Arabidopsis thaliana: one gene and its partner. The protein of the gene in region 2 interacts with the protein of the main gene of each other region in a biochemical or structural test. Each region holds a gene or a part of one and is shown on either strand. Other genes may lie near its edges.

Region 1 (3,760 bases), on a different chromosome or scaffold from region 2:
GATTCATCGGATTTACAGCTCGATTTAGCTATACATTTGATAGCTGCAACAGAACCATCTCTAAGGATACCTTTATAAACTGAAGAGACATTACTCTTCCCCAACAAGTTAATCTCAGAGAAGCTCTGAGTAGCTCTCTCAATCTCCTCAAGATTGAACATAAAGCTCTCAAAGACTTCTTGAGACAATGCACTGTTGTTGTTACTGCTCTGTCCTCGTCCTAACGGATCCCAACCACTTGCGTACTCTAAGCTGATCAATGGAGAAGAGCTTTTTCTTCTAGAAACTTCTTTGAAGTTGTACTCAGTACTAATCCTACCGTCCATTGCATCAAGACTGCTTCCAATCTTCTGTTTCCTTCGTCTGTACCATGTGAATGTTGAACCGCCAAAGATTGCAACTGCGAGGATTGATCCTATTAGACCCATGACGATTCCTAAAGGTGAAGACTTTAAGGATTTTGATGAACACCCGCCATTGTTGTTACTGCAATTGCTTCGTTGTAAATCTGCTGATTCTGGTTTCACGTCAACTGTTGTGAAATTCGTTGGGTTTGTTGGGTCTGGTCGGTTAGGGTTCGGACCGTTTAAGCCGGTGCAAGCTTTCAAATCAGTGAAACCATCTCCGCATAAACCGTGATTGTTTGAATACTGGAATCCATTGTTTAGCCTCTTCAAAGCTTCATAATTCATAAAAATCAAGAAACAAACAAGTCAGCAAAACATCTTTAATGTGGTTGTAAAAACCGGTTTAGAATTGATATGGTTTAAGTTCTCCACGATCCGGTTTTGGATTGGTTCCCGGTTCTGTTTAATCGGATTGGTCAACACTGAACCGGTTTAGAATCTGAAGAATTTATGAATCTTGAGGGAAAATAAATTATTACCAGAGGGAACGAAGCCGGAGAAGGAGTTATTACGAATGTCGAGAACTTCAAGCAAAGGAGCACCGGCGAGTTTCACCGGAACAGGACCAAAGAGGTTGTTGAAGCTCAAATCAAGCCTCGTTAACGTATCAATATCGCCTAAACTCGCCGGAATGGCGCCGGAGAGTTGGTTATACTGTAAAGCCAAGACAGTTATCTTCTTAAGAGAACCAAACTGTGTCGGTATACTTCCACTTAACTTGTTGTAACATAACTGTATAACTGCAAAAAAAAAAAAAAAAGTGTTATGAATATATAGATGCAATTATATTTGCCCTTATTTTTGTTGAGTTTTACATTTTAGTTTCAAAACCCCAAATAAAATTGTTTTTGAGTTTTGCATAAAAAAGAGTGAAAGATGAAGGAGACAATAGAGAGTATCCCTAGTTTCTAGGAGACTCAAAAATCTAAAAACTTGAATGGATGATTAAAAAAAAAAACTAAAATCTACACCATTCAAGACCTAAACTCTTTTTAGCTAAGTTTTAATAAACCAAATTTGACCCGCTTAAGGTGTTTTAGCTGCAATAAATGAATTATAGTGAGTGAGGTTAACAAAGAACACATGCATAAATAGACCGACCTTGAAGATTGTCTAAGTTCCCGATTAGAGGAGGGATTTCACCGGAGAGATTGTTGACATTGAGGTATAAATCGGTGAGGAGAGGCAGATTTGAGATATCTTTAGGAATATGACCGGTCAAGGAGTTGAAGTGAAGGTATAAACCGGTTAAGCTTGTGAGAAGACCGATTGAAGGAGGGATAGTTCCAGTGAGACCCATTCCTTGAAGAGAGATGTTAGCAACACGGCGGTTTCCGTCGCACGCGACACCGTCGAAGGAGCCAGAGGAGCAAGGGTCGGCGTCGGGAGTCCATGAAGTGAGGAAACGTTTTTCAGGGTCGAGAGAGGATTTGATATCGAGGAGAATGTCGAGCTCTGAGGAGGAGGAAGACAGTGCAGAAGAAAGGAAGAAGAAGAAGAGGATGAGAAAGAGTGTGAGTGGAGAGACCATGTTTGGTTGGAGAGAAGAGAGAGAGAGAGATGAGGAAGAAAATGAAAATGACTCTCTCTTGTGGTTTTGAAGAAAAAATCTTGTCCATTGTATTTATAAAATAGTAGTTCTTGATTGTTAATACTAAGAAAAGCTTAAACCACAAAAGTATAGATATCGTGAACATAATAATAATAAAAAGTTAGTTCAACTATGAAAATGTAAAATGATAACATAGAGAACTATATAGATCACAACTCTAATTTTTTAATATATAAATGTATATAGACTAATCTCCAATGTAAGTTATTGCAATGTATTAAGACATTCATATAGTAGCTAACTATACATAATTGTTATTGCAATGAAAGTATTTGAACCATAGTCCATATGTTACTCTTATGATAATTTTAAACCACTTGACTTTTTATCACTTTTTAATTACACATATTACTGATCAAAATCAACAGTAAATTTTTTTAACTACAATATTTTGATTGTTTGTTCATGTTACATCAAGTATTCTACATGTATAGTTTCACATTTTGAGTGGATTGTTTTTGATTGATTAGTATATATATATAAGTTTATTTGGAAATTGAAGGAAAACAAAAGACTCATGAAAATTGAAAACATTGAAGTCCACGAGTTCATTTCATTTTCTGTACTTTATACGGTAAAGATTACTTTTAAAGTCTTTTCAGAGGAAAACAATAATAGTTAGGCGAATCTTAGCTTTTTTTCAAAATTGAAAATGATACCATTCTCCCTGGATTTAATGGTAAGAAAAGTTGTTTCTTTTTCAGTGCACCAGCTATAAAATTGTACTTTTTATATCATTTGTTTTTAACTTTTCATATATCCATAAATGTTGGATATATGTTTTCTTATAAATTTCTATTAATTAGCGAATTCATAACTTATTAATGACCATATTTACTGAAAAACATCAAAATTGTGAGGTTGGGATTTTAGTTAGAAAAGAACTATATTTGACTAAATCAAACCTCGAGTTTATCCGATCATCATCAGTAAACACCCTTAGATATTACATGTACAAATAACCTGATAACAAGCTTTATATGTTCACATGGAGAATAAGGTACAAAGATAAATGGGATCTTCTTGATATTATTCCATTAAATTACTATATTTGATGCAAATAATTGTTCCATGAATAACAAAAAAAAGGGTAGCTAATATTTTATATTATATAAGAACAAATTAAAAGGTAAAAAAGGCATCCAAGAGGCATGGGGCTAAGAGTACATCAAATGGGACAAAGAAGATGATGGAGGCAAGTCAATAGTAGCAACATGTGAACATTTTTCTAACACAATTAATAAACAAATTTACGTAAAATTTTACAAACATGTGAACTTGTCTTGAGTTAATGTTTTTGCTATCTTCTATATCTGATCATAGCAAAAGGTAAAATGGACCAACACCTCGCTCTCCTCTAAGTGTAACATGTGAATTTACAGAAACAAGAAAGACATAAAGCAAGAGAATAAAGCAAAAGGCTAAGGTCTACTTAAAAGATATTCCGTTTTCTCTGTAATTTTCTTACTTCGTGGGTAGTGGTGGATGATATTTTTGGTGGATGATAGATGTGTGTGTATTTCATTATCTATTTATAGAATGAAATTATTATTTGAGTGAGAAAATGAGAATTTTCAGAAAGAAAGTGTCCATGATAACTTAATTAGTGCAGTCAAATCTCTATATGATGATGACATTGTGTTAATTAGACAATATTAATTTGAGTTCCTAAGTTGATTGAATATGATTTTACTTTACTTTTAAACTATAGTAATAGTACGTAGAACTCATTTGAAAGTAA
Region 2 (3,760 bases):
TATGATCGTTATTTAATTGTGATACAAGTTTCGGTTTCAAATGGTAATGAAGATTATTAATGCTTTGATGATGGGTTAATTTCTGGTTTATTAGTATTTGGATTATTTTAAAAACTGAAATTGCTTTCAAGTTGATAAATGATACACTCATACATAACTGTCGATGGCTTTTCAACGGAGAAGAGACAAGTCACGTCGTAGTAGTTACCGAATTTTTAATCGAACGTTCCCATTTGCCAACCAGTGTATAGTTTCTATATCTTCCAACCCGGGTCGGGTCATTTGAGAACCCATAAAACTATGAAACCCATTTCAGCTAATAAAGCCCATTTGCAGAAATGAAGCCCATTTACAGATTTCATGTCTGCAAATTAAGTACTCATTTTCTGCAAATTCTCTCAGTACTTATAGTAATCAAAGAAAAAACACACAAATATGTCTTTAATCCTTACAATACTATCTAACACCAGATGTCTGAAAATCAAAAGAAACCAATAAAGCTTTACAAGGTATTTCAATGATGTCGTGAACTAGACTCATACAATGAACTCACCAAGTCATAAATCTGCGTCAAGCTTGGTTGCTTTAATGGTGGTATTATATCAGTACACATCAGTCCTAGCGTAATGGCTTGCTTAACTTGATCAAATGTTCTCCCCTCAATCTTCATCTTCTCATCAATCACTCTCTCTAGATTATCCGGATAATGAACTCTTATATACTCAAGATACCTTCTTTCTGAATCTTCTTGTCCCAAATCAGGTCTTAGATTTGTAATCATCTCCACAAAAAACAATCCAAAGTTGAATATATCTGTAATAACACAACAACAACAACAACAACAGACTTAGCTTTTATAGCCTTAAAAAGGTTTTGATTTTTGCAAGAAGAAGATGAAGCCTTACTTGTTGACAAGTTGTTTCTATCTCCAATCTTGAAATGAGAAATCAAAGGTTCTTGATTATCATCGGATAACAAAACACTGCTTGTGGTGAGATCAAATGTAATCTCTGGCCATTGATCTGATAGATAACAAATACCTTCTACAACTCCTAGAACTACTCTTAACCTTCTTCTCCATGATAAAGCCATTGACGAACTTAACCAAGTCTCAACATTTTCACCTTGAATCCATTCTGTAACCAAAGCTCTCATGTTTCTACTATTACACCAACCCAACACTCTTACCAAGTTCTTGTGTCGTAACTTAAAAACCATCTCGCATACCTCTGCGAATTCACGCCTTTTCTCACTCGAAACCTTCTCTTTATAAACCTCGATCTTCGTCTCTGTCCCGTCTCTTAACGTTCCTTTGTAGATATCCACTGTATTGCTCATGCTCACAAGATGTTGATCTGAAAACTCATCCGTTGCTGCTTCAAGCATCGCGAATGTGAACTTGTTTCTTCTCCGGCATGTTCTTGGTAAGTAATCAGGTCTCTTGACACATAACCAGCCAAAGCAAAAACAGAGCAAAATCACCATTATTGGAAAAACAATCAACAAGACCAAAACTTTCATCTTGTAACGCTTCACGTTGGGAAGAACACCGGACTGTATGAAACTAGAGGCGTTAAACCGTTTGAAGAACTCAGAATCCGAGATCTTATTCTCGGAGAATCGGTTATACGATAGGTTCAAATGGGTCAGATTGGGTAAGCCTGAGAGATCTTGAACCGGAACAAAACCAGAGAATTGGTTGTAACTCAGATCAAGAGTACGAATCTGAGCACAAGACAGAACATTTGTCGGAAAACCATTCGTTAGAGAGTTATTCACTAACTCGATATCAACGACGGTTAAAGGACAGTACTTCCAGAAGAAATCGAAAGAGAGGTAAAGAGCAGCGGTTTTAGGACGACCGTGAATTCTGATTCTAGGGAAAGATTCAACGCAGTTAGGGTTTTTGGACTCGTTACAGAGATGACTAGCGACGATTGTGGATCTGAAAATCTCGACAATGTCCATTGGAGAAGAGGAAGTGTTGTTGCAGTAACGGAGCATTGGATCACGAAGACAGTTGTTGGAAATAGTGGTGTTGAAATCAGGAGGTGGACTTAGATTAGCGAGGTCTTCGACGACGGTTGCGGAGAATACTGAGAGAGGAAGATAGGATGATAGTAGTGACGTGAGGAAGAAGATGAAGAACAGAGAAGACGCCATTGGAGAGATAGAGAGCAAATAGGTTTCGTTATTTGGTTTCGTGTATGGGTGAGATTAGAGAGAGAAGCAGAGAGGTAGTTTCTGTGTTATTGGAGGTGTTGTTGTTGTTGGCGGTTATTTTGAAACAGAGTGGGATGAGATTTACGCGCCCATTTTCCTTTTAGTGATCGTGTGCTTGGAAGTTGAAGATTATTAAAATAATAATAATTGTGAAGTTTTTTAAATTTTGTGAATATCTACACTTTTTACAATAGCTCCACTATGAAAACAAATTTCAATGTTTAATTATCATTTTCGTTGTCATTGAACACATAATAATGTGTTTATGTCAGTTGGTAAAAAATTATCTAGAATGGTTTTGCTTGTATTTGTAAGATTGTGCCTCGAATTCCTTTCATATATTTCTTGTCTCTTTGGTCTATTTATCTTGTTCTAAACTTTTTCTCTTTCTTGCGCAACAAACATCTACGTGGGTGAATTTGAGTCGATAATTATTTGGTAAATGTGCTCAATGTTAAATATAATTTTTGTTTGAGAATTGAATTGAATTATATAAACTACTATCAATAAAATCTTCAATAGTTTCACTTTATATCCAATGAACTTTATATTTCTGCAATTTTACCAAATTAATATGCCTAATTTAAAATTTAGATTTATAGAATCATATATATAATTTTTAATTTTCTACATTTCTATTTTTATTCATCTAATCTATATGCATTTAATTTCTTTAATTGGTATAGTTTCCTATGTTGTATTGTTTATTATTTTGTTATTAACATATTTTATAATTTTTTGTATTTTCTTAATTAAGAATAATAAAAATATATAAAAATAATAGTTATTGTCTTAATGAATCTTTAAAAAAATGGAAATTCAACAGGAGCTAAAAGGTAAACTTTTGATAAAGAAAATAAAATTTATTGCAAACTTACTCAGGCTTCTTAATTGTTAGAGAATTTTACACTAATGCAACGCATTAAAAGGTGAATTCAACAGAAGCTAAATGCTACTTCCATGAGCACTAACTCAAAAAGTGAGAGGAATAGTCATTTGAGATAAGTTGAGAACTAGGCAGTTTTTAGGGAAATAATTTGAGAACTAGACAGTTTTTTTAAAAATAGGCTGATAGGGTAGTTTCTTCTGTCCTCTCTAATACAGCCCTCCTCTAATACAGCAAATAGTCAAAGACCGTTTTACCCCTCTTGTGTTTTGATGAAAACTAATGGGCCAAATTCAAACCAGCCCAATATCATTCAAAATTCAAGATTTGTCATGGGCTAATATCACAAAACTCAAACCCATTTGTCCTCAAGACATTGAAACCAAACATAAACTTATCTCCTAAACCCTCGTTGAACATAAACTTCTCTCGTCGTCGACATCTTCTCTGAAGTCGTCATTGTCAAAAGAAGATAAACCCTCGTCACTTCGAAAATCATACACACATTGTCAAAATCTGTCGAGATGGAAGGTATGAGTTATCATAAGAAGCTTTACAGTTTATGAAATTGAGTGTACGGCCAACAAATAACGATGGAGACGATGACTCTGTTTTCGTTTTTTCAGGGGACGATGAATCCTGCGTCTCCAT

Evidence for each region. The genes of interacting proteins can lie anywhere in the genome.
Region 1: the proteins of AT4G20790 (region 2) and AT2G45340 form a complex in vitro, tested with the Arabidopsis thaliana proteins (one large-scale study listed by BioGRID).

The regions. Positions count from the first base shown.
Region 1 is NC_003071.7:18,689,917-18,693,676, reverse strand, and holds the start of AT2G45340 (Leucine-rich repeat protein kinase family protein), read right to left. Parts: upstream 2,014-3,760; 5' UTR 1,939-2,013; coding exon 1,509-1,938; intron 1,148-1,508; coding exon 887-1,147; intron 680-886; coding exon 1-679.
Region 2 is NC_003075.7:11,134,261-11,138,020, forward strand, and holds AT4G20790 (Leucine-rich repeat protein kinase family protein), read right to left. Parts: upstream 2,164-3,760; coding exon 906-2,163; intron 814-905; coding exon 515-813; downstream 1-514.